Linked DNA regions of Macaca fascicularis. The protein of the gene in region 1 purifies or fractionates together with the protein of each later gene. This does not show direct contact. Links are inferred from orthologs where the notes say so. Each region holds a gene or a part of one and is shown in the gene's direction. Other genes may lie near its edges.

The links.
Region 2: the proteins of ZC3H18 (region 1) and FNBP4 purify together in Homo sapiens (affinity purification with mass spectrometry; 3 studies listed by BioGRID and IntAct, counting the BioPlex papers as one, with this or other methods). This does not show direct contact. The link is inferred for Macaca fascicularis from reciprocal best matches to the Homo sapiens genes ZC3H18 and FNBP4.
Region 3: the proteins of ZC3H18 (region 1) and SRPK2 purify together in Homo sapiens (affinity purification with mass spectrometry; 3 studies listed by BioGRID and IntAct, with this or other methods). This does not show direct contact. The link is inferred for Macaca fascicularis from reciprocal best matches to the Homo sapiens genes ZC3H18 and SRPK2.
Region 4: the proteins of ZC3H18 (region 1) and NCBP2 purify together in Homo sapiens (co-immunoprecipitation; 3 studies listed by BioGRID and IntAct, with this or other methods). This does not show direct contact. The link is inferred for Macaca fascicularis from reciprocal best matches to the Homo sapiens genes ZC3H18 and NCBP2.
Region 5: the proteins of ZC3H18 (region 1) and SRRT purify together in Homo sapiens (co-immunoprecipitation; 4 studies listed by BioGRID and IntAct, counting the BioPlex papers as one, with this or other methods). This does not show direct contact. The link is inferred for Macaca fascicularis from reciprocal best matches to the Homo sapiens genes ZC3H18 and SRRT.
Region 6: the proteins of ZC3H18 (region 1) and NCBP1 purify together in Homo sapiens (co-immunoprecipitation; 3 studies listed by BioGRID and IntAct, with this or other methods). This does not show direct contact. The link is inferred for Macaca fascicularis from reciprocal best matches to the Homo sapiens genes ZC3H18 and NCBP1.
Region 7: the proteins of ZC3H18 (region 1) and PRP4K purify together in Homo sapiens (co-immunoprecipitation; 4 studies listed by BioGRID and IntAct, counting the BioPlex papers as one, with this or other methods). This does not show direct contact. The link is inferred for Macaca fascicularis from reciprocal best matches to the Homo sapiens genes ZC3H18 and PRP4K.

Annotation. Positions count from the first base shown.
Region 1 is NC_088394.1:84,533,347-84,536,846, forward strand, and holds part of ZC3H18 (zinc finger CCCH domain-containing protein 18), read left to right. Parts: intron 1-1,484; coding exon 1,485-1,645; intron 1,646-1,766; coding exon 1,767-1,981; intron 1,982-2,621; coding exon 2,622-2,718; intron 2,719-3,500.
Region 2 is NC_088388.1:18,096,636-18,100,135, forward strand, and holds part of FNBP4 (formin-binding protein 4), read left to right. Parts: intron 1-1,936; coding exon 1,937-2,061; intron 2,062-3,500.
Region 3 is NC_088377.1:146,652,102-146,655,601, reverse strand, and holds part of SRPK2 (SRSF protein kinase 2), read left to right. Parts: intron 1-136; coding exon 137-619; intron 620-3,500. UniProt on the Homo sapiens protein: Serine/arginine-rich protein-specific kinase which specifically phosphorylates its substrates at serine residues located in regions rich in arginine/serine dipeptides, known as RS domains and is involved in the phosphorylation of SR splicing factors and the regulation of splicing.
Region 4 is NC_088376.1:2,357,048-2,360,999, reverse strand, and holds the start of NCBP2 (nuclear cap-binding protein subunit 2), read left to right. Parts: upstream 1-1,152; 5' UTR 1,153-1,204; coding exon 1,205-1,282; exon of another isoform or gene 1,283-1,338; intron 1,339-1,513; exon of another isoform or gene 1,514-1,584; intron 1,585-1,836; exon of another isoform or gene 1,837-1,990; intron 1,991-2,131; exon of another isoform or gene 2,132-2,307; intron 2,308-3,476; exon of another isoform or gene 3,477-3,626; intron 3,627-3,952. Other genes in the region: protein NCBP2AS2, read right to left, coding at 689-988. UniProt on the Homo sapiens protein: Component of the cap-binding complex (CBC), which binds co-transcriptionally to the 5' cap of pre-mRNAs and is involved in various processes such as pre-mRNA splicing, translation regulation, nonsense-mediated mRNA decay, RNA-mediated gene silencing (RNAi) by microRNAs (miRNAs) and mRNA export.
Region 5 is NC_088377.1:49,475,604-49,479,103, forward strand, and holds part of SRRT (serrate RNA effector molecule homolog), read left to right. Parts: intron 1-125; coding exon 126-254; intron 255-502; coding exon 503-649; intron 650-900; coding exon 901-1,089; intron 1,090-2,917; coding exon 2,918-3,087; intron 3,088-3,205; coding exon 3,206-3,390; intron 3,391-3,500. UniProt on the Homo sapiens protein: Acts as a mediator between the cap-binding complex (CBC) and the primary microRNAs (miRNAs) processing machinery during cell proliferation.
Region 6 is NC_088389.1:60,465,070-60,468,569, reverse strand, and holds part of NCBP1 (nuclear cap-binding protein subunit 1), read left to right. Parts: intron 1-125; coding exon 126-229; intron 230-2,430; coding exon 2,431-2,553; intron 2,554-3,500. UniProt on the Homo sapiens protein: Component of the cap-binding complex (CBC), which binds cotranscriptionally to the 5'-cap of pre-mRNAs and is involved in various processes such as pre-mRNA splicing, translation regulation, nonsense-mediated mRNA decay, RNA-mediated gene silencing (RNAi) by microRNAs (miRNAs) and mRNA export.
Region 7 is NC_088378.1:169,033,147-169,037,207, reverse strand, and holds the start of PRP4K (serine/threonine-protein kinase PRP4 homolog), read left to right. Parts: upstream 1-1,261; 5' UTR 1,262-1,387; coding exon 1,388-1,428; intron 1,429-4,061. UniProt on the Homo sapiens protein: Serine/threonine kinase involved in spliceosomal assembly as well as mitosis and signaling regulation. Connects chromatin mediated regulation of transcription and pre-mRNA splicing.

The DNA of each region.
Region 1 (3,500 bases):
GAAAGTATTAAATCAGTCCTTAGATTCCTCACATAGAACTCTTTCATTTCCAGGCAGCAGGTGGTTTATATGTTTGTCAAACTTTTTTTTTTTTTTTTTTTGAGACAGAGTCTCGCTCCGTCACCCAGGCTGGAGTGCAGTGGCCAGATCTCAGCTCACTGCAAGCTCCGCCTCCCGGGTTCACGCCATTCTCCTGCCTCAGCCTCCCGAGTAGCTGGGACTACAGGTGCCCACCACCTCGCCCGGCTAGTTTTTTGTATTTTTTAGTAGAGACGGGGTTTCACCATGTTAGCCAGGATGGTCTCGATCTCCTGATCTCGTGATCCGCCCGTCTTGGCCTCCCAAAGTGCTGGGATTACAGGCTTGAGCCACCGCGCCCGGCCATCAAACTTTTTTTTTCTGTTGTTTGTTTTGTTTCTGGAGAGACATGGTCTTGCTCTGTTGCCCAGGCTGGTCTCAAAACCCCTGGGCTCAAGTGATCCTCCCACCGTGGTCTCCCAAACTCCTGGGATTATAGGCGTGAGCCACCGCACCTGGCCTAAAATGTTTCTTGATAGGTCTGAAATGTTTTAAAAGACCTGACTTTTGAAAAAAAAATGGTTCTCTTACCTTCCCCCGTTCCCTGCTGCGGTACCCAACGTGCCTGGGGGATGTGATTGGTGTTTTCCCGAGTAGCACATGGGCAGGGCGGACTCAGATGCCAGTCCTGTGCTCTGTGTCCGTGTTGAGTGCAAGCCAGTGGAGCTGCAGACCTGCTGTTTCCAGTCTGTCTGCTGCGTGTTCCTCAGGCATTCCCTGAGACTGTGCGGAACAGCTCGTTGTGTTTTAATTTCCCTGTGGGCTGAGGCTGTCACCCTTTTGTTGCGGGTGTCTAAGCCAGGGACTCTGCTTAAATTCCATCCTTGCCACTCTTGGCTCAGCTCAGTCCTGTTTCCCTTCACAACAAGCAACCTGACATTCGTTTCATTTGTGTTTGTTTTGAGACGGAGTTTCGCTCTTGTTGCCCAGGCTAGAGTGCAGTGGCACAGTCTTGGCTCACTGCAACCTCCACCTCCCGGGTTCAAGCAATTATTTTGCCTCAGCCTCTCCAGTAGCTGGGATTACTGGTGCCCGCGACCATGCCCGGCTAATTTCTGCATTTTTAGTAGAGACAGGGTTTCACCATGTTGGCCAGGCTGGTCCCGAACTCCTGACCTCGGGTGATCTGCCCGTCTCAGTCTCCCAGAGTGCTGGGATAACAGGCGCGAGCCACCGCGCCCAGCCGCAACCTGACATTCGTTAGTGAAATGGGGCCCTGGCCCAGCCATAGAGACGTCCGTTACTGTGTAACCCTGGAACTGCCCAGTGTCCCCCCAAAATCACACATTCCATGGGTACATGATCCATAAATGGACACTGGGTAAACGTGGACCATGGAGCACCCCCCGCCGGCCCCTCCCTCCAGTCTGTGGTTGGACTGTGGTGAGATGTTCTCATGTGTCCAGGTCCCTGAGCGTGAGCAGTGTCTCCTCAGTGTCCAGTGCTACGTCGAGCAGCAGCTCTGCACACAGCGTGGACTCGGAAGACATGTACGCAGACCTGGCTAGCCCCGTGTCCTCAGCCAGCTCTCGGTCCCCAGCCCCAGCCCAGACCAGGAAGGAGAAAGGTATTCGGGGGCCCTGGTACCTTTAAGGAGTAGCTCCAGGGCAGGAGGGTGGCATCAGCACAGACTTTGCCTGGCTGTCGGTGTGGCCCCGGGAAAATCACCAGTACCCCCATGACTGCAGATTTATCGTTGGTAGGAAAATCTAAGAAAGAAGACGGTGTTAAAGAGGAAAAGCGGAAAAGGGATTCGTCCACGCAACCACCTAAATCTTCAAAACCTCCAGCAGGGGGGAAGTCCTCCCAGCAGCCCTCGACCCCCCAGCAGGCACCCCCCGGGCAGCCCCAGCAGGGCACGTTTGTGGCCCACAAGGAGATCAAGTTGACACTGTTGAATAAGGTGAGGGCAAGGGCCCTGCTGGTGGCTCCCCCAGCGTCTGGGCCTGGGTCCATTTGCTTCCTGAGACAGCTTCCTCCTGGGGGACAGAACCTGAGTGAGGGCCAGTGGAGCCTTGCAGGTGTCGGCAGAGCCTGGGTGACAGAGCGAGACTCCATCTTCCCGGCCTGGGCCAGGAAGTGTGAGCATCTGGGGAGGTTCGGGTGCTGCCGGCCTCGCTCTGGACAGAGAGCGTGTTCTCTCTGTGCCTGTGGCCGCCATTCCCTGCCAGCCAGTCTCAACATAATACAGGAAGCAAGCCTCAGTCCCTGTCCTCTGCCCTCAGCAGGACACATCGCTGTCCTCTGCTGGAAGGTTAAGAGGCCTGGTTTCAGGAGTCCCAAGTCCTCCTAGAGTGGCCCCCATGGGGAGCAGGAAGGCCTTCAGGGTGCTTCCCATGGAACATGAAGGGGCCCCAAGTGCACAGTGGGGGTGCCCTTGGTCCGGGTCATGGAGGCCTCACTTGGGGCTACAGGGTCTGATGGGCATGTGGTGGGACCTTTGGGAGCAGAGCAGTTTGCTGGCAAGGAAATGTTGTCTGGGGTGAGGACACAGCTGCTGTCTCCTGGCCCTGCCATCCTCACCAGCCTCTCGGTTGTCCCAGGCGGCTGATAAAGGAAGCAGGAAGCGCTATGAACCATCAGACAAGGACAGGCAGAGCCCTCCTCCAGCCAAGCGGGCCAACACATCCCCAGACCGAGGTGAGCCTCCCAGCCCCTAGGGGGCAGGGCAGGGGGCGGGAGCCTGGGGATGCGGAGCAGCTGGACTCAGACCCCATCGCTCTTAACAAGCAGGAGGGCCCAGAAAACATCTGACTTGCAGATTATGCCTGTCAGTATTACGATATTGAAAACTAAAACTAAGAAAAATTTTTAAATGTTTGTTTAAAAGTAACAGGACCAGGCGCGGTGGCTCACGCCTGTAATCCCAGCACTTTGGGAGGCTGAGGCGGGCAGATCACTTGAGGTCAGGAGTTCGAGACCAGCCTGGCCAACCTGGTAAAACCCTGTCTCTACTAAAAATACAAAAATTAGGCCGGGCGCAGTGGCTCACGCCTGTAATCCCAGCACTTTGGGAGGCCGGGGCAGGTAGATCACAAGGTCAGGAGATTGAGACCGTCCTGGCTAACACGGTGAAACCCCGTCTCTACTAAAAAATACAAAAAACTAGCCAGGCGAGGTGGCGGGTGCCTATAGTCCCAGCTACTCGGCAGGCTGAGGCAGGAGAATGGTGTGAACCCGGGAGGCGGAGCTTGCAGTGAGCCGAAACAGCGCCACTGCACTCCAGCCTGAGTGACAGACTCTGTCATCCCAAAAAAAAAAAAAAATTAGCCGGGCATGGTGGCGGGCACCTGTAATCCCAGCTATTCAGGAGGCTGAGGCAGGAGAATCACTTGAACCGGGAGGCGGAGGTTGCAGTGAGCTAATACTACACTACTGCACTCCAGTCTGGCCACAGAGCAAGACTCTGTCTCAAAAATAAA
Region 2 (3,500 bases), on another chromosome or scaffold:
CCTCAGGTGATCCACCTGCCTTGGCCTCCTAAAGTGCTGGGATTACAGGTGTGAGGCACCGTGCCTGGTCATTTTTGGCTTTTTAAACTGGCAGTCATTTATTTCATTTATTTATTTATTTTTATTTTTTGAGACAGAGTCTTGCTCTGTCACCAGGATGGAGTACAGTGACACGATCTCGGCTCACTGCAACCTCTGCCTCCTGGGCTCATGCCATTCTCCTGCTTCAGCCTCCCAAGTCGCTTGGGCTACAGGCGCCCACCACCATGCCCAGCTAATTTTTTGTGTTTTTGGTAGAGATGGGGTTTCACCGTGTTAACCAGGATGGTCTTGATCTCCTGACCTTGTGATCCGCCCACCTCAGCCTCCCAAAGTGTTGGGATTACAGGCGTGAGCCACCGCGCCTGGCCTATCTGGCAGTCATTTAGACTGTGTGAATTAGTTTGGGTATATAGGTGTTACGAAGCAAAGATAAAAGAGTTCATATTGTGTGCTCTGTTTAAGTTGGTAGACCTCTTCTCTTTTGGAGATTCCCATTACCAATAGACATCAGCACCAACTAAATAGGTGGGTTCAATATAGATGTCTGTAGATCTTCACCAGTTTAGGAAGGAAATTACCAGATGGTTTGAAAATGATGCAGGCCGGGCGTGGTGGCTAATGCCTGTAATGCCACTACTTTGAGAGACCTACCTGGGCCGGTCACTGGTCAGGAGTTCGAGACTAGCCTGATTAACATGGTGAAACCCTATCTCTACTAAAAATACAAAATTAGCCAGGCTTGGTGGTGCATGCTTGTAATCCCAGTTACTTGGGAGGCTGAGTCTGGAGAATCACTTGAACCTGGAGGTAGAGGTTGCAGTGAGCTGAGATCATGCCACTGTACTCCAGCCTGGGCAACAAGAGCAAAACTCCATCTCAAAAAAATACTAAAAATAATGATGCAGCCTGGATACAGTGGTTCACGCCTATAATCCCAGCACATTGGGAGGCTGAGGCAGGCGGATTGCATAAGACCAAGAGTTCGGGACCAGCCTGGGCAACATGGTGAAACCCCGTCTCTACTAAAAATACAAAAACTGGCTGGACATGGTGGCACCTGCCTGTAGTCCCAGCTGCTTGGGAGGCTGAGGTGGGAGGATCCGTTGAGCCTAGGAGGTCAAGTCTGCAGTGAGCTGAGATCATGCCACTGCACTCCAGCCTGGGCGACAGAATGAGACCCTGTCTGTCTCCAAAAGAAATTATAATGCTAATAATGTTGCTCTTTTGAGCACCTTACCCTGCAACTTGTTAAAGAATTCTTACATATCCCAGGTTTGCTGTCTAGCTATTGTAAGTAATTGAAGCAGTGGTATTCTGGAAGAGAAATTAGAAAAGGTGTTAAGGAGAAGGGGAAAGCAGAAACTTCAGGGTAATTTGATAGACTAAAGTAAATTTTACTTACAGATGTATTTTAAGAAAGTTGATTATAAAGGATTTTTATTTTATTTATTTATTTTTTGAGATGGAGTCTTATTCTGTCTCCCAGGCTGGAGTGCAGTGGCACAATCTCGGCTCACTGCAACCTCCGCCTCTCAGGTTCAAGCAATTCTATAGGCGCGTGCCACCACGTCCGGCTAATTTTTTGTATTTTTAGTACAGACAGGGTTCAACTGTGTTAGCCAGGATGGTCTCGATCTCCTGACCTTGTAATCTGCCCACCTCCAAATGCCAAAGTGGTGGGATTACAGGCGTGAGCCACTACGCCCGGCCCTGAATTGTTTTTGGGTTATAAAGACAGTAGGCTGACAAGTTTGAAGAGTTTTAACAAGTAAGTAAAACAGGCAAGAGAGAAAGAACTAATAATCATTTGCAGATATCTGCTATGGGGAAAGATGTATATAGTGCTCTATAAGTATTGGTACTTTGGTTTAATTTTACATGTTTTCTTTTACAGCAATTGGTGCTGAAAATTCAGAAAAAACAGATGAGAATTCAGATAAAGAGGTGGAAGTAGAAGAATCTCCAGAGAAAATAAAAGTACAAACAACACCAAAAGTAGAAGAAGAACAGGATTTGAAAGTATGTATATTACTTGATGCAACTTGACAAATTTTTATCATTATTATTATTATTATCATTATTTTGAGATGAAGTCTAGCTCTGTCACCCAGGCTGGAGTGCAGTGGCATGATCTCGGCTCACTGCAACTTCTGCCTCCTGGGTTCAAGCTATTCTCCTGCCTCAGCCTCCCCAGTGGCTGAGATTACAGGCGTGCACCACCACTCCCAGCTAATTTTTGTATTTTTCGTAGAGACGGGGTTTCACCATGTTGGCCAGGCTGGTCTCGAACTCCTGGCTCCGTGATCCGCCAACGTTGGCCTGCCAAAGTGCTGGGATTACAGGCGTGAGCCACTGCGCCCGACCCGCCAATTTTTTTTTTTTTTCTTTTTTTTTTTTCCCCCCCTAAGGCAGAGTCTTGCTCTGCCACCCAGGCTGGAGTGCAGTGGCCCGATCTTGGCTTACTGCATCCTCTGCCTCCCAGGTTCAAGCAGTTCTTCTGCCTCAGCCTCCTAAGTAGCTGAGATTACACCACCACACCTGGCAAGTTTTTGTATTTTTAGTAGAGACGGCATTTCACCATGTTGGCCAGGCTGGTTTCGAAATCTTGACCTTGTGATCCACCTGCTTTGGCCTCCCAAAGTGCTGGGATTACAGGTGTAAACCACTGCACCCGGCCCAATTTTTTTTTTAAATGCCAGTTATTATTAAACTGCTTTCTGTTAAGTAGTAAAAGTAATAGTAATGTTTCCAAACCTAAATTGTTTACTTGATTAGATGAAAAGATCATATTTAAGCCTGAAATAATTAATTACAAGGCTGACTTGATACTGAGAAATTATCTAACATCCTAACTGCTTAATTGCTTTCTTCAAATTAAGCCTCTGTTTGAGAAGCAGTAGCTTATAGGCTTCTCTAGTTTGGGAGAAAAGTCACAGATTTAATTCCGGTGTGCAATACTGGTCTTTACACAAAGGCAAATTTAGTTTGAATTGCATTTCTAACCTAATCTCATGGGAGAGTTGAACCAAATAAGTATTGGCTATTTAAGGGTGGTCTGTTGGAAAAACCACTTAACATGTTATTTTGACTTGAAAGAGTATCCAATTACTAGTTAGGGAACAACCAAGTAGAAGGGACTGGGATAATTAATTTTGTTTCGGGCTTCAGCAGGTGGCTAATATAAGCAATTAATGGATAAATGGCAATTTGACAATATTGGTATTTATATCATTCAGGATCTATTTTTTCCAGCTTTGTTGAGCTATAATAGACTATACATATATCTTGCATGTACTATGTCATAATTTGTTATATATGTATATTACGATATGATTATCACAAACAAGGTAAATTAACTTACATATCACCTTACCTTGGAGAGTTGTCTTGTGTATGTGGGGATAACACATAAGATCTATACTCTTAACAAATTTCAGGTATTGTTAACTGTAGTCACC
Region 3 (3,500 bases), on another chromosome or scaffold:
AAGCAAAGAGGTGTTTACTAGGTGGTACATAAGTTAAACACATTCAAAACGTGTTTTATTGATGGAGATAAGTACTTAGTGAGGCCGTATTAAGGACAGTAACAAGTTCTTATTCTTGACCCATCAACTTCTTAAGGTGAAGCTGAGGACCAGGAAGAGAAAGAAGATGCTGAGAAAGAAAACATTGAAAAAGATGAAGATGATGTAGATCAGGAACTTGCGAACATAGACCCTACGTGGATAGAATCACCTAAAACCAATGGCCATATTGAGAATGGCCCATTCTCACTGGAGCAGCAACTGGACGATGAAGAGGATGACGAAGAAGACTGCCCAAATCCTGAGGAATATAATCTTGATGAGCCAAATGCAGAAAGTGATTACACATATAGCAGCTCCTATGAACAATTCAATGGTGAATTGCCAAATGGACGACATAAAATTCCCGAGTCACAGTTCCCAGAGTTTTCCACCTCGTTGTTCTCTGGATCCTTAGAACCTGTGGCCTGCGGCTCTGTGCTTTCTGAGGGATCACCACTTACTGAGCAAGAGGAGAGCAGTCCATCCCATGACAGAAGCAGGACGGTTTCAGCCTCCAGTACTGGGGATTTGCCAAAAGGTAAGTGTTCTTCCCATCAACTGTCTGCCATTACTGACTCCAGGGACGTGCCGTTAACAAATGCTATGAAGGAACTGGCTGGAAGTGGCCAAGCCCTGTTTGTGTGTGCTAATCATTTTTATTACTTTTATACTCATGAAGAAGTAATGTGATTTAAATACATGTTCTATGCCACTAGACTATCTCTTGCTCTCTGCATACCAAATCTTATTTCTGATCAGTTCTCATTTTTAATATATTTATAGTCAGCAGCATCATTTGCAAAAACTGGAAGGTTTTTGTAAAAAGGTTTTTGTAAAAAGATGTAAAACTACATCTTTCTAGAATGTGTAGTTTAGTTTATCATTTGTATCTTCTTCTATCTGATATTATTATAGTTTTTTTTGTTTTGTTTTGTTTCTATTCAAGAAAAGTATACCTCCTCTTTGACTCTATTGAGAAAGAAGTGTCATATTGTCTTTTGATATTTGTTCCTGATTATAGGACCCTACTATTGATAACGGGCCCAGGATTGTAATTTTCAAGGAATTGGCATGGATTTAGATGTGATGACAGATTATAGGTTGGCTCTTGTGTTCTTGTCTACCTAAGAAGGCTTGACTTATTCAAACCTTTATTTTGGGAGTCAATGCTGAGTGACTCTAGTAAGTGAAACTGGGTAACACAGTTGGTTTCCATTCTGACTCATGGTGGAAAAGCTCTGAAACCTCCTCTGCTCCCTCTGCTGACAAGACTGTTTAACACACAGTGAGTAATTGATGAGCCAGCCGTGCAAACCACCCAAGACATTATACAGCCCCTTTGGTTCCAGAGTCTGGAATTGCACGCTAAGTGAGCTGGCTTTGTTACACGCTGGCTATGATGAATCCTCCTAAGGATTTGCTTTCTTTACTTGGCTGGACGTGGTCAGCTCCTGTTCCCCTGTATAGGGAGTGTTTGAAGGTGCTTACATAGAATGTAGGTTCATGTCTGGGAAAGGGCAGTAGCGAGATGTACCTTATCCAGATTTATTGTTGCTGTTGCAGTTCAATTTTTCTCTTGAGGTTTCTTTTTTCTTTTTGAGATTGAGTCTTGCTCTGTTGCCCAGGTTTGAGTGCAGTGGCGTGATCTCAGCTCACTGCAACCTCTGCCTCCCGGATTCAAGCGATTCTGCCGCCCCAGCCTCCTGAGTAGCTGGGATTACAAGCATGTGCCACCACGCCTGGCTAATTATTGTATTTTCAGCAGAGACGGGTTTTCACCATGTTGGTCAGGCTGATCTCAAACTCCTGACCTCGTGAGCCACCGCGCCCGGCCGAAGTTTCATATAGAAAGTAATTTACAAAGTATCTTTTTAATTATTTCTATTTTATTTATTTATTTATTTATTTATTTATTTATTTATTTTGAGACAGTCTCAGTCTAGTTGCCCAGGCTGGAGTGCAGTGGTGCAATCTCAGCTCACTGCAACCTTTGCCTCCTGGACTCAAGCAATTCTCCTGCCTCAGTCTCCCGAATAGCTGGGATTACAGGCGCCTGTCACCATGCCTGGCTAATTTTTATATTTTTAGTAGAGACGGAGCTTCACCATGTTGGCTAGGCTGGTCTCCAATGCCTGACCTCAGGTGATCCGCCCTCCCCAGCCTCCCAAAGTGCTGGGATTACAGGTGTGAGCCACCATGACCAGACCAAAGTACCTTTTTTATTTGTACTTAGTTTGCAAGTATTAGCTTAGGCTGCAGTGGCTTCAGTTACAGCCAACCCTCCGTATCCATGGGTTTTACATCTGTGGATTTCACATCCATGTGCTCAGCCAGCCTCAGATGGAAAACAGTTGGAGGGGAAAAAAAAAAACCTGTGTCTTTATTGAACATGTACAGACTTTTCCCCCTTGTCATTATTCCCTAAACAATACAGTATAACAACTATTTACATACCATTTACATTGTAGCAGGTATTATAAATAACTAGAGATCAACTAAAGTATATAGGAAGATGTATGTAGGTTGCATGCAAGCACTATACCATTTTATATCAGCGACTTGAGCATCTGTGGATTTCGGTGTCCTCAGGATGTCCTGGAACCAGTTCCCCGCAGACACCGAGAGGCACCCACGTATCATCAGATTAATCCCCAGCTCAGAACTTAATAACTGTGGAACTTTGGTTTCTTATCCTGTCTGAGCCTTGGCTTATTCCTCTATCAAAGGAAAGAAATGGCTACCTCTAGGGTTGTTAGTAGCACTGAGTTAAATACAACAGGTCAATGGCAAAGGTAGATAAATAACATACAATAATATATTGAAAAATTTCCCATTGAATGTAAGTTGCCTTGGTCATCACAATCCATGTAAAGGAGCACAATTGCTGCTTGTTACCACGTGGTCACCATCGAGGCCCAGGCAAGTCATAAAACTTACCCTGTTGTTTACATGACAGCTCCATCTCTGTCACAGGAAACTTCAAACCTTACATGTTAAAAACCAGAATACAACTCACCCTGCCAACCTGCTACACATGCTGTATTTCCTGCGCTTGTTACCACCATTTCTTGTTGCGTCAGTGAGAAACTTGATCATCAGTATGTCCCCCTTTTTTCTCTCACATCCAGTAAATCATCTCGTTTTGCTAGTCATACCTCATAAGTAGGGGTCCTGCTTGCCTTGGCCCTACAGTGGGCACTGTCATTGCTTGCCTCTGCTGTTACGGAGGCTCCTTACTGGTCTCTTGGCTTTGTGTTCTCTCCAGCTTTTCTCCCCACCTGCCTTTCAGCATGCCCTTCCATGGTGCTGCTAGAGTGTCTTTGCAGTATGCTTACCCGATCAGTGTATTCCCCTGCTCACAGTTTCCACAGGTCCCCATCATCTACAGCAGTGGTCTCCACAGTGGAGAGTGTACATCC
Region 4 (3,952 bases), on another chromosome or scaffold:
AGGCTGAGGCAGGACGATCACTCGGACCCAAGAGTTCGAGACTACCCCATCTCTACAAAAAAATCCAAAAAGTAATCTGCTTGCTCATGCGGATGTGGTTGTAAGGAAGCGAAATAACACGCAGAGTGCAATGAGCAAGTCCCAGCACAAAATACTCATTTCATAAAATACATGTTTATTATTGCCATAGGCCTACAGTCCCTGGTATTCTCAATATATCTTGCCTGAGAAGTATCACACTCATGCCTATTAACCAGCTCATACATTTTTTTAATCAAAGGAATTTGGCAGTTGTAGGGTTGTCTTTTCATTCACATCGTCCCTGGAATTAAGTGTCCTGCTACACCAGTGCAGATTCAGCAGCATCTGTCAAGAGTGTCAGTTCCATCTGCAGAGGAAAGGCTCTCTGGCTTCGGTCCGTGGCTCTCCGCGGGTGCGGTGTCTGGACCCAGCCTATCTTCATCTCTGTTAGGCTTCGGGGTCTTTCTCCACACGGTGTCTTGTCCAATCACAGGACTTCAGCGGAGCCTGCGGTCTGGCCTAGGCTCTTCTGCGTGGGATGTCTGCAGGCCAACAATCCGAGTCGGGGTTCGAAGCCGCGCGCAGTGCCCGGAACGACCCCTCCACGTCGAGGCCAGTGTAGAGCCCGGAAGGCAAAGTAAAGGCCTCGGCCCCGCACAGCCCAGGCTTAAATGTTTGCGCCAGGGCCCCTCTGGCTACCTGGTGGTGGCCCCGAACGGCCACGGAGGCCGCGGCGTAGCTCCTGGGTGAAGGTGTCTCTGAATCGCCCAGCGCGGCGGCACAGGGAGCCTGCGGGGCCAGCCGCGAGGTCCTGCAGGCGGCGGGCCGCGTCCTGGCCCCGCAGCTGGGCCTGCAGCAGAGCGAAGGCCGTGAGCTGCGCCGCACGTCGGATAGGCCGAGACTCGGACAGACGTTCCACCAGCTGCGGGCTGTGCAGCAGGGCCGCCAGCAGCCGCCGAAGCACCATCTTCCCCAAGCGCCCGGGAATCCGACCTCGCCGCCCTAGTCTTCCGCCCGGCGGCGCCCGACCCGGACGTCATCTGCGCCCGCGCAGCTTGATGACGACACTGCCGCCCTCGGATTGGGTCCAATGAGATGCGCGCTTCCGCGCGTTTCCGCTTCCGCCACGGCAGACGCCACCTCGTGCCGGGAATCGCCGCGTCCTCGTCCGCTTCTCTGCGCTATGTCGGGTGGCCTCCTGAAGGCGCTGCGCAGCGACTCCTACGTGGAGCTGAGCCAGTACCGGGACCAGCACTTCCGGGTGAGGGAGGCCGGGCCGCGAGAGGGGAAGGCCCTGGGCCAGAACGCTGAGAAACGGTTTGCTCTTGTCTCATTGTGTCGCCTCCCGTTCTGCTGCAATCCCCAAACGCCAAGTGGGGCCCCGGTGCCGGCTGGGGAGGCAGGGAGCGGGTGCTGGGGGGGCGCTTGGACATCACTGAAGCCGCTGGCTCTGGAAGACAGGGCATTTGAGGCTCGCTTTCCTGTTCCCTCCAGCCGCTCCCTGCACCCGAGCCGGTGCCGAGAGGCCTGAGCGCTGATGGTAGTGGCGGCTCCCGTTTCCAGGTTGTACCTCGCAGATGGCTGCGTAACAAGGGCGGGGTGCCCTTCTCTCTCCCAGAGTGTGCAGAGGCGCCTTCTTGATGCAGATTCGGGGCTTTTTACGTTCTTTTTTATTTTTTTTATTTTTTTATTTTATTTTTTTTTTTTTGAGACGGAGTCTCGCTCTGTAGCCCAGGCTGGAGTGCAGTGGCCGGATCTCAGCTCACTGCAAGCTCCGCCTCCCGGGTTTACGCCATTCTCCGGCCTCAGCCTCCCGAGTAGCTGGGACTACAGGCGCCCACCACCTCGCCCGGCTAGTTTTTCTGTATTTCTTAGTAGAGACGGGGTTTCACCGTGTTAGCCAGGATGGTCTCCATCTCCTGACCTCGTGATCCGCCCATCTCGGCCTCCCAAAGTGCTGGGATTACAGGTGTGAGCCACCGCGCCCGGCCTACGTTCTTTTTTAAATCGGCGAAGCAGTGCCCTTCTCTGGGAGGATGGTGTTAGGGAAGCTGTACGCGGTGCGTGGGAGACACAAGTGAAGTCCTCACTCCGCCCTCGGGGAGGCTTCGGAGTGGGGAGGGGGACCCGCCAAGCTGGGCACTTTGAGGGTGTTTGGATGTGAAGATCGGAGAATTGCTGGATTTCAGAAGAGAGAAATTTTTAGTCCGGACTATATCACAGTATGTTTTGTGGAAAAAGGGGAGGCCGCAGATATACAAAGTAGGCTTTTCAGTATCAGCAAAGGTAGGGATGGAATACGGTTGAGGGGTGGCGGCGCGGGACTCATTAACCCGGTTATTTAGTAAACATTTGTTGAGTGCTGTCACCAAAGCCTTGTGCTAAACCCTGGGGGGAAGGGAAGACAGTTTCTGCACTCTGCGAGCTCATAATCCCCTGTAGTGTGGATTATCAAAGAATCTAAGGTAGAAGTGAGTTAAAAGAGAGGCTGTGAGAATTCAGAAAAAGGGGAGAAATCCCCTTGTGACTGGGAAATGAGGGGGCGCATATAGCAGAGGTCAGTGTGGAGAACGTGTGAAATATGTTACTAGAGTAGGGAAAAGGAAACTTTGACGCCAAATTAGGGAAGCTCTGAAATTTATTCAGTCGAGGCCGGGCACGGTGACTCATGCCTGTAATCCCAGCACTTTGGGAGGCTGAGGCGGGTGGATCACGAGGTTAGGAGATCGAGACCAGACTGGCCGAGATGGTGAAACCCCATCCCTACTAAAAATACAAAAATTAGCCGGGCGTGGTGGCGGCGCCTGTAGTCCCAGCTACTCGGAAGGCTGAGGCAGGAGAATTGCTTGATCCCGGAAGGTGGAGGTTGCGGTGAGCCAAGATCGCGCCACCGCACTCCAGCCTGGGCAACAGAGCGAGATTCCTACTTTAAAAAAAAAAAAAAAATTCGGTCAATTTATTTTATTTTTTGAGACAGAATCTCGCTCTATTGCCTAGGCTGAAGTGCAGTGGCGCAATCACGGCTCATGCAGCCTCAACCTCCTGAGCCCAAGTGATCCTCCCCACCTCAGCCTCCTGAGAAGCTGGGACCACAGGCTCTCACACTACATCCGGCTAATTTTTTGTAGAGACAGGGTCTCCCTGAGTTGCTCAGGCCGGTCTCAAACTCTGGGACTCAAGCGATCCACCAGCCTGGGCTTCCCAAAGTGCTGGGATTACAGACGTGAACCACTGACCCCGGCCAGTCCAGGTTTTAGATGCTTAAGTGCCAGGCATGATTTGCACTTTTTTTGAGACGGGGTCTGGCTCTGTCACCCAGGCTGGAGTGCAGTAGCACGATCTCGGCTCACTGCAAGCTCCGCCTCCCGGGTTCACGCCATTCTCCTGGCGAGCTGGGACTACAGGCCCCGCCACCACGCCCGGCTAATATTTTTGTTTTTGTTTTTGTTTTTTAGTAGAGACGGGGTTTCACCGTGTTAGCCAGGATGGTCTCGATCTCCTGACCTCGTGATCCGCTCGCCTCGGCCTCCCAAAGTGCTGGGATTACAGGCGTGAGCCGCTGTGCGCGACCCTGATGAGCCATTTTGGATCCAGGGATTTGTCAGGTGTGTTGGATGAAGCCCAGTTATATTCTTATCTCTGGCTTCATCGTGTCATCCCAGTTTGGAAGCCCATTAGGAAAGTGAGCTCTGTTTTGTTTTTAGTGATCACTACATTTTTTTCCTCAATTCAGAAAAAATACATGAGCATGTAAAGCATCAGAGTTGTTGCTTTAAACAGTCTCTATGGGGTTATTAAAAGGGGACTCTCTGGAAATCCACTTATTTCTCACTACAGAGTATAAAAGGGCCCTTTGTCATACATGGGTCAAGGTCCAGAGTTTAACCTTGGTTGAAAGGATGCACTGCTGAGAAGATGGCGTGTGCAGGGA
Region 5 (3,500 bases), on another chromosome or scaffold:
ATTGCCCAGGTTGGTCTTGAACTGGCCTCAAGTGATCTTCTGCCTCGGCCTCTCAAAGTGCTTGGATTACAGGCATGAGCCACCATGCCTGACCTTTAATCTTTGTTACTTGTTCTTACCTCCAGAGAGTGGGACCGTGGCCGTGAGCGCCGTAGTCGGGGTGAATATCGGGACTATGACCGGAATCGGCGAGAGCGCTTCTCGCCACCTCGCCATGAACTCAGCCCGCCACAGAAGCGCATGAGGCGAGACTGGTGAGATGGAGCGGTTTCCCTCTTCTCCCCTTCGCCTCAGTTCCACTTGGGCCTCCCCTTTCTCCCCTCACCTGTGCCTAAATCTTTGTCATTTCCTTTTCTCAACTTCCCATCACCCATTGTTTCTTTGTCCCTTGAAACCCTTGTGTGGGAGACCATGCTGTGTGTACCCCTGTCTGTCTGTCCTCCTTCATGCTCTGGGGAGGTGACTCCCTTCTCTGCCTTACTTTTGTGTCCCCCACCCTCAGGGATGAGCACAGCTCTGACCCATACCACAGTGGCTATGAGATGCCCTATGCTGGGGGGGGTGGGGGCCCAACTTATGGCCCCCCTCAGCCCTGGGGCCACCCCGACGTCCACATCATGCAGCACCATGTCCTGCCTATCCAGGCCAGGTAAGGGCCGGGCTTTTCGGGAGAAGGGGGTTGGTAGGCCTGGGGGATGGATGGGGTTGCTGAAGGCCATGGTTGAAGCCAGGGAGTGGGTCAGGCCCACAGAGACATGTCCCTGGGATGGGGGTAGTAGCTGTTGGGGTTTGGGGTGATGTCCATGGTGGGCAAAGAAGGGGGGCACCTGGCTACTTTGGCCCCTGTAGCCTCCAACCCTTCCCCAACAACCAAGCCTTTCTGACTGGGGTCCCCTCCAGGCTGGGCAGCATCGCAGAGATCGACCTGGGTGTGCCGCCGCCTGTGATGAAGACCTTCAAGGAGTTTCTCCTCTCCCTGGATGACTCGGTGGATGAGACGGAGGCCGTCAAGCGCTATAATGACTATAAGCTGGATTTCCGGAGGCAGCAGATGCAGGATTTCTTCCTGGCGCACAAAGATGAGGAGTGGTGAGTGCCCCTGCTTCCCTGGATCTCTGCCCTGGCATGTCCCCCTGGCCCCGCTGGTGGAGCCGCGGCCCTGTCCTCTTCCCAGTTTCCCCTGTCCGGAACTTTCTGGGGGTGGGGGTCGGGAAGTATGACAGCATTGGCTGATGGGGTCTCCCCCTCACTTCAGCGACTGCCACGGCCCCCGCCCTGCCCTATCTCCTGTCCTGCTGTCCTCAGAGAGTGGGACACCTCCAGGCAGCAGGCCAGAGCCACCTGGCCCCTTGGGGCAGCAAACAGGCCGCTTCCCATTTGCTGGTGTTGGGTCATTGTCATCCCTGATCACCAGGACCCCGTGTGACTGTGGCATCCTCCTAAAGCGACGAGTGAATCCAGACAGGAAAAGCAAAGATCTCAGGGTCATTTGACAGAAAAAGAATTTTAATTTTTTTTTCCTTTTGTGGATGTTTTAATTTTAATCAACCATCTTTTCCCCCCTTCCTGCTCCTCCTCCTCCTCATCCTCTTTCTGCTCCTCCTCCTTGAAAAGAGCCAGAACTGGGAACTACACCCGCTCATCGACGGAGCTCGGAGCAAACCCACCTCCACCCCCACCATACCCAGCCCATACATGAGCCCCTGGGCTGAGCTGCGCGGCCCGGCCAGGCAGACAGGCAGGGCACTGCTGTGCACAATGCAGCGGTTTAGCTGAATGTGATTGCTCAGGCAGCTAGCCAGTCAGGCCCCACTGCGGAGTCCCGCGGGGCAGGGCATCTCGGCCGGGCGCCCAGCCAGGAGCCAGCCGGTGGCCCACCAGCCAGCATGGGCCCTGGGCGCCGCTAGTTAAATCTTGAGCTCTGTTTGACCAAGCGGCCAAGGTAAAGATCCTGGAGGTGATGCCTGCGGCTTTCCTTTCCTCCTCCGCCCCACTCGTGGTTCTGTTCTGTCTTCGCTGTCCCCTCTCAAATTGCTCTGTGTCTTTGTCCTAATCTCTCACGCACTTTCATTCTTCTCTGTCCCTGTTCTTGCTCCCTGCCTAACACTGCCTTCCGCCCTGTTGGTTTTTTCAGTTTCTCTCTCTTTAGTTTTTCCCTTTGTTTTGGTTTCTGGGACTTTCTCACACTTTCCCCTTTCCTCCCTTTCCCCTTTTCCTCATACTCCTCATTTCTTCTGTTTTCCCCCTGAGGTCCTATTTGAAATGTTTTATTTTTCTTTTCCTCCCTAACCTTCCAGCCCTCTCCTGTCTCTCCCCTGTGGGCAGGACCTGAGGCTCTAAAGGGCACTCCAGTCTCTCCCTTCGGTCTTTCCTGTCCCTTCACCGTCTTGCTTATCTTCCCACGGGTGGAGAAAGGTGCCCTGCCTCTGGGCTTTTGCTATCTGGCCCCCTCTGTCTTCCACCTTGGGGTGGAGGGAGTTGGCGGGAGCAGTTTTTGAATGACTGCAGTTTGGGGTTGGTGAGGAGAGGGAGGTTCTTCAGGGCCTGCTATTTCCTGAGCCTTCCTCTCTGAAGCTTTGGGAAATGACACCTTTTGACTAGTTAGTGTTTCCCGGAGACTTAAAGTGGTAAATCTGCCTCTCCAACCCTGGCGTCCCCCTGTAGTCATTGGTCTTCCCAAATCCAGAGCTCTTAGTTCCTGGTTTTCCCCCAGATCTTCTCAGAGCACAACTTCTGGTTCCCTTTGGGGTGTTGGGTGGTTCTAGTGCAACCCTATCCCCTAATCTCTCTGTTTTGATGACCTTTTGTGGGTGTGAGAGGATGGGGGCTATGCCCTGTCTTTCCTGGGCCCCTTCCCACATCCTGGCTTTGGCTTCCAGTAATTGTTTTGTCTTTCCCTCCCCCGCTTCGTTCCCAGGTTTCGGTCTAAGTACCACCCAGATGAGGTGGGGAAGCGTCGGCAGGAGGCCCGGGGGGGCCTGCAAAACCGTCTGAGGGTCTTCCTGTCCCTCATGGAGACTGGCTGGTTTGATAATCTTCTCCTGGACATAGACAAAGCTGATGCCATCGTCAAGATGCTGGATGCAGGTGTGTGGATTTGGAGGGCTGGCAGGCATTTGGGGTGGGTGTATTTGGGGACCAGGCAGATACGGGTTGACAGGAGCCAGGGCCCTCGGGTTGTGAACTCTGTTCCCTTTGTTGGTAGCTGTGATTAAGATGGAAGGAGGCACAGAGAATGATCTCCGCATCCTGGAGCAGGAGGAGGAGGAGGAACAGGCAGGAAAGCCTGGGGAGCCTGGCAAGAAAGAGGAAGGACGGGCTGGAGCAGGCCTTGGGGACGGGGAGCGTAAAACAAACGACAAGGACGAGAAGAAGGAAGACGGCAAGCAGGTCCGAGCGCCGGGCCTCTAGTGCTGCCTCGGGATCCAAAGGAGCTACAAGTGCGGGGCTGTGTTCTGGGAGGGGTGGAGAAAATGAACCTGTGGCCTCAGCTGTCAGGG
Region 6 (3,500 bases), on another chromosome or scaffold:
CCTTTCACTCTTGGTTGTCAGCTGAGTTCAAGTTGTTGGAGATTGTGACTTTCTAGGTAAGTTGGGTGTTACCAAAGAATGGGACTGATAAAAGATATTTTCTGAGGCTGTTATTTGTATTGTAGGTTGTCTTACCATCAGCGTATATTAGATATTGTTCCTCCTACCTTCTCAGCTCTATGTCCTGCAAACCCAACCTGCATTTACAAGTATGGAGATGAAAGTAGCAGTAAGTAATGAAACAAATCCCTCTGTCTTTAAAAGGTACCAGTTCAAATATATTTAAATTAGTTGTTTAAAGTGGAGAAATTGAACTTTTTCTTTTCTTGGGGTTTATATTTCCTGTATTCGAAGGGTAGTCTAGCATTAGCCACTGTTTTATTTGCCCTGTCATCATTTTGAGGATTTGGTTGTGATAAAATTAATTACTACTGGCTTATCTTTTCTTTCTCTTTTGAATGTGTTAAGTATAGCAAGATGAATTTATAGTTAGATCTTACTAAACTGCAAATGCGTATTTGTCATGGTGATGGAGATTACTTGAATTAATTATCTTTTTCAGGTGTGGTATTGAGAACATAGATGTACATATTCTGTGGCAGTATGCCTTTAAAAGTAAATTCTTAATTATTATTTTCTTACCTTTTGGTCACATAATCTCTGAAATTGCACCATAAATCAGGGAGTGTAATTTGATGTGCCATTTTGCCCTTTGCACAGTATTTACACTTAATGTAGGTAGAGTATTATACATTGTTGATCACTGGTGGAGTTAGGTGTGGAGTTTTTTCCAACTTATCCTTTGCAGATTACACTTAACACAGCCCCTCCATGATCCTTCCATTTCATGTTGTGTAGAGGTTCTTTGCATCTCACAACTATCTGCTGTTCCTTGCTTTTCATACCATATGCCTGTTTCTCCACCTCTGTCTGTGATTGTACCTGTTTCCTTTGAAATAAACTGTGTTGGTCCTGGTACATTTCCTATTTAATTATGTCAACTCTGAAAAATAGATATGATTATCAAAACTACAATGAGGAAATGGCTTCCAAGAGGTCAAACTAGAATGAGATTGCTTCTGAGTGGTGGAGCCCAAATTCAGGCGTAGGTGCACTGCTGAGTGGCCATGCTCTTAGCCACTGTGCTTTTTGGCAGATCAAAGGTTCATGCAGCACTTAGAAGTGCCAGGTTTTGAGTTTTGTCTTGTACTCGTTCCGAGAATGATAAAGTACAGTCTTTGCTGTCAGAAAGCTCAGACTTTTGTTGAAGATTAAGCTTTCTTTTTCCCCATAGGAATAACTCAGCCTAACATTTCAAGGCCTTCATAACCATTGTTCCTACTTTGTTATTTTTCACTTCTCCCGACATGGGCCTCTACTTCTCCCAGGTCCATGTCCTTTTTTATTTTTTCCATACTGTTTGTTCTTGGCTTTGCTATTACCCCAGTCTGGAAAGTCCTTTCTAGCTCCACTTGCTTTTCTCCTTCTAGATTCTAGCCCAAGCTCAATAGCTGTAAATACTTTTTAACCTTTAGTAAGCCAGTTTTGTATTGCTCCCTGGCTGTGTCTAATGTGAATATCTTGGTTCTCCAGCTGGAATGTAGACTGGTGACAGGGGATTCTGTTTTTCTTCGCCTTCTTTCTTTTAGAGAAAAAGCTCACAGCAGGTGTAATATGACCATCCTCACGTGACTGTTGTAATTTACTTCATTCATTCCAGTAACTCGTACTCTATGACAGGATTGCCTTTTTTGTTACCTCTTTGTCTACCTTACATTAAAAGCAGATTTCTTGTTGCTCTGGTGATGCCTTACGGTGTATATTAGCACAAATTTTTATAATAAGGACTTAACTGATACCAATAGTAAATACAAGGAGTCCTATCACATGAGCATCTGACTTACATAGATTCAAACTTGTGGATTCAGCAAAAAAAGAAAAGTACAAAAACAAAAACCTCTCTAAACTTGGCAGCCATTACCTTGTTGAGGCTGAGACTTCGTTTCCATGGTCCCAAGGAAAGAAAGAGGAAATGGGTGTTGGCAAAATGAAAGAGAAGTACGTTGGTTCTGGGCTTTTGAGCCCGGGAGAGTTGAGGGCATTAAAAGACAGTTTAACTGTGTCCACTCTTCTCCTTACCATTCATCTTGAGGATGATCAGCACCTTGTACTCTAAATTTTACTTAGCTAAGTGTCCTTAAGGAATTGTTGAAATGAGAATTGTCCCTTTTTAGGTGAAAAACCATTAACCTATTAGAAAAAGCTTCCACATGTGGTACTTTTATACAGATTAAATATTGACCTTGGGATAAAGAGCATCCTATTTTGAAAGGAAGAATTTAAAAAATTTTTTCTCAGTTATTTAACTATTCGTTAGAATAGTCTTGAAACCTGATCTGTCATTCCCCTTACCCCCAATTCTGTGTTTAGATTCTCTTCCTGGACATTCTGTTGCCCTCTGTTTAGCAGTTGCCTTTAAAAGTAAGGCAACCAATGATGAAATCTTCAGCATTCTGAAAGATGTACCAAATCCCAACCAGGATGATGATGACGGTAAGTGGAATTCAGTATTTCTTGAGTGGAACTATGTATAGGCCAAGTTAAAGCATAAACATAACTCTGGCAACATGATGCGCTTAAAGCAGTATATCTGTATCTGTTTGACCTGTTCAGACTGTTAGTTGTTCTTAGCATCCCAGGTGTTTTCCCCTTATATAAAAAGAGATCCTAACATTTCTGTGATAATACCTTCCTTAAGAATATAAACTTCATCGTAAATACAAAGTGAAATATGTTACCATTCAAGGATTTTTAACCCCTGCTTTCACCATAGCTTCCTGAATAGAAAGACTTGGTGTATTATAAAGTTCGACATTTTCTCCAAGTCAAGCTATTAGAATAATAATGCTTAACATTTACTCAGTTATATACCATGTAATTCCAACCAGAATCCTAGGGGTTTTTCTGGGCAAGAGTGGGAAAATTGACAAAATAATTTATACAGTTGCCTGAATCAATAAATGGATATGTACATAGAAAAACTACTTCATCAAAATAAGATATTAGTGACCTTTGGATATTTATTACTGGGATTTTGTTTGGATATCTCTAAGAAACTTGTGTTATGATATTAGAGAAAATGAGTTTAGAAAGCATAAGCCAAAATGATGGCATTAAATTTAGACATTGTCAGACATCTTAAGATAAAAGCTTAAGTGTTAAGGGTTTGCTGGGTTTTTTTGTTTTTTGGGGGGTTTTTTGGTATTAATATAATAGAGACTATGAATAAGGAAACCTGTGTGATTTTTCTTTTTTCAAGGAATGGATGATAGAATTAAGACAGTCACATAAAACTAAGAATTAAAATTACATGTGGTTTCATATTTGCAGTATTTGAAATCAGTGACGGTCTTTTATTGTTTATTAGAACTAAAAAACATTACACAAATATCTGTGTATAGATGTGAGCGTACCATCTATTTAGCATTTGAGGTAAGGCA
Region 7 (4,061 bases), on another chromosome or scaffold:
CCTCCCAAAGTGCTAGAGGATTGCAGGCCTGAGCCACCGCGCCTGGCCCTAACATTTCAAAACGTTGGGAATTCAGGCAGCAAGAGACATTTTGTAAGAACATTTGAAACCCTTCTCCCCTGGAAATCAAGAGATATGTATGGAGCCTGGAGATTCCGAACTCAATTTTCTAGGACAAAGGCAAACTAAGATGATTACAAGAATGAAAGTGATCGTCACGCTGCTTCTAGGTTCCAAAGTATGGATATATATATATATTTTTTAATGGAATCTTGCCCTGTTGCCCAGGCTGGAGCGCAGTGGCGTGATCTCAGTGCAACCTCCGCCTCTCGGGTTCAAGCGATTCTCAACTGCCTCAGCCTCCCGAGTAGCTGGAATTGATTATAGGCGCGCGCCACCACGCCCGGCTAAATTGTTTGTATTTTTAACAGAGACAGGGTTTCACCATGTTGGCCAGGCTAGTATCGAACTCCTGGCCTCAGGTGATCCGCCCACCTCGGCCTCCGAAGGTGCTGGGATTACAGGCGTGAGCCACAGCGCCAGGCCGAGAAATTTTTTTTAAAGAGGAATTAAAGAACCTAATTGGTATTGAGAGCTCTCCAAGAGCCAGTAAATGTTTTCCCTACAATATTCCATTCTACCCCATTACTGCAGCGTCGTTATAGAAAAAAACAAAATCACATAAAGCAACTTGGGCCAAAAAACATTACACGTTCCAATTACGGAAACAACGAACTGAACGACTCCTGAATCATGTCACCCTTGAACTATGTAAAAGTTGAAAAGATGTGTCAAATACAGTAACAGTTCCACATTAAAAGATATTTACGTCGAGGTACAACCCTAATTTACAGTATTTAAAAACGCCTTTCTACACCCTTTCCGGGGAAGCTAATGCCACTTCAGCTGAGCTATCTAGCGAGATGGTTAAGCATTTACTGTGTCTCTTAACACCGACCAGGGAAAAATCATCAATTCGTTTGCCCGAGTTTATGAGAATTTTCACCCAACTTCCAGTCTCCATAGCCAATCAGTTCTTGGAACCGCATACCCGATGCCGACATCCCTCTCTTGTTGGCTCCCCTCGTCAGCAGGCTTCGATAACTAAACGTCCATTTCTAGCACTGACGAAAGAGCTCAAGCTTGACACAGCCCTCAATCCTCAGCAGCACCGCCCACCATGCTCCCGGAAGTTGCGACACTACGCCCTGCGCCAGTCCCGGGACGCAAGGTTTCATATCCGGATTCTTAGCGCGGACTCAGAACCCCGCTCTTCCCTACGCGGTCAGCACATGCGCGGCAGCTCTTTTCCTTCTTCTTCCACTTCCACTACCTTCCACCGTCCGGGAGTCGCCGCCACCGCCGCCGAGGAGTCAGGAAGTTCAAGATGGCCGCCGCGGAGACCCAGTCGCTGCGGGAGCAGACAGAGTAAGTAGTCTCTGTGAGTGGGCCAGAGGCTGGAGCCCGGGGACTGCCGAGTGGGAGCTGCACGGGCGGGCGGGAAAGTTCGGGCCTAACGGCGAGAGTCAAACTTTGCCTTCTCCGGCGCGATTCGTTGTGGGGTGGGAGGCATGGGGAGCAGGCGGCCTTCGAGCTTCCTTCTCTCAGAGGCCGCGGCTGCTGGGGTGAAGGCGGCCGCGGCCTGCAGCGCGTCGTTGCCCCGGGAGGCGTAGGCGCGAGCGGCCTCTACAGGTCCGGTGCGCGTGGCGGCAGTGAGGTCGCGCTTTCCCATTCCTCCCTTGGGGACCCATCTAAGCTCCCTGGCCGCGGCTCTTAGCGGCATCGGTGTTGGGGACACGAGGGTCAGTGGCAGCAGGCGGGGCAAGCCCAAGTCTTTTCTTCCTCTTGCGGTACCCCCAGTCGTCCTTTTACTGGTGTCAGTTTAGGACCTGAAAGCAGAGCGCGGAGGTGGTGGGGTCACACTCTCTGGCCATCCCAGAGCTAGTCTGTGGCTAGCAGGATACTTGATCTCGTCACCTTGTATTCTTTAGTCCAGCAGTCACCCAGTATTGTTTTGTTTTGTTTTGTTTTTTTGAGTGCCTGCCGCCAGCTTTTTTTTTTTTACCAACTTGCAAACTTGAGGCAAAGTGAGATAGAGTCTTTGGTTTTGAGGCCTGGCATTTTTTTTTTTTGTTTTTTTTTGCTTGAGTTTATAACCCTTTAGGAGGACGAGGACGAGTGGAAGGAGTAGTTGGAATTGCTAGCTACTGCCAAACCACTTTATATCTATAATTAAGCTAATATAAGAATCCATGCGGCCAAATGAAAAATGAAAAAAAAAAAACATACGTGTGTATGCTGCAAGGTTAACCATTGGTTAACTAAAAGCAGTATTTTGCTCTTCATGTCTATGTTAGGAAAACTCAAACAAGAACCATAATAGAGAGAATGGATTTTACGGCAATGTTCCTATAGCGACCGTTTTTTTTGCATCTGCACTGTCTCATCTGTTTCCAGCCATTTTAGAAAGAGGTATAGTCTCCCAGCAAGTTGTGACTGAGCGATAGGAGAAATCTTTGCCACCAGACAACCTGACACTTAATTGCTGTACGTCCAGTTTTGGGCTCTTCAATCATCTGCATTACTCAGCTAGGCGGAAAAACGGAATTTTTAACTAAGGGCTTTTCAAAACTGCTGTATTATCTTTATAATTTGCCTTAGCAGAGAACAAATGGATTCTGAAGTTTTAAACTAGCTTTAACCTCTTACTGTTTCTCACCGAGTTCATTGTGTGGCACAGTTACAGTGTTTATGCCAATACAGTGCAGATCTCATGCTATGTGGTTACATTTTCTACTAATCTGAAAATTTCTGTAGTATTATGTCCATTTATTTGATTTTAGGGATGTTTGAGATTCATTTCGAGGAGTGGGTTAGTCATTTTATTCGCATACTGTTTTCAAATAATATTAGACTTAATAATTTAAAAAATACATATTCAGGCCTCTACTGTATGAATAACAGAGATAGTCTTTAATTTCCCTTCCCTTCCCCACAGAACACTTGGTGTAAATGGAATATTTGGTCTGTATATGTCTCACTTTCAGTAGTTTGAAAGTATTTAACAAAGACGATAACCATTTGGTATGAAAGCAAACACTGTGCCTGGTGCTCACAGTGAGTCCTTGAATATAGTGTCTACAGCAGTTCTTTAGAGAACACTTGAATAGTTTACAGTTATATGGAATCTATTCAAAATAGAAAATTTAGAAAGAATAAATATAAAAAGTAGCTTTTAAGCTTCCTGAAGGCTTTAATTCTTTTAACAACCCTATAGAGGTAGATGCTTTTATTTTCCTGTTTTAAAGATGATGAAACTGAAACACAGAGAAATTGAGTAACTTGCTCAAGGTCACCCTAAGTGGCACACCCATTTAAACTCAGGCAGTCTGGTTCTAAAGCCCTGCTGCTAACTATTGAACTGTCTGGCCTCCCACTGTACAATGTGGCTTCTTTTTAAATTGCTTTTCAAGTATGAAATTATTTTTATTTTTTCCACTGTCCCAGAAAGATCCATTTTTTGATGTGATGTGTCTAATTTATTGAGACCTAATTTCTCAAACCTGATTTGGCAAAGCAGGGACCAGAGGGAAGGTTTTAAGACTAGTTAGTCTTTTGGACCCATTCTGATTTTTATATCTACATTAATTCTTTTTATTCATTTTATTTATTTTTGAAACATGAGCTCTTGTCACCCAGGCTGGAGTACAGTGACACTATCATGGCTCACTGTAGCCTCAACCTCAAGTGATCCTCCTACCCCAGCCTCCGGAGTAGCTGGGACCACAGGTATGCAACACCACGCTCAACTAATTTTTTTTTTTTTTTTTTTTGAGACAGAGTCTCACTTTGTCTCCAGGCTAGATTGCAATGGTATGATATTGGCTCACTGAAACCTTGGACTCTGGTTCAAGCAATTCTCCTGCCGCAGCCTCCCGAGTAGCTGGGATTACAGGCATGTACCAACACGCCCTGCTAATTTTTGTATTTTTAGCAGAGACAGGGTTTCACCTTGTTGGCCAGGATGGTCTCAATCTCCTGACTGCGTGATCCACCCGCCT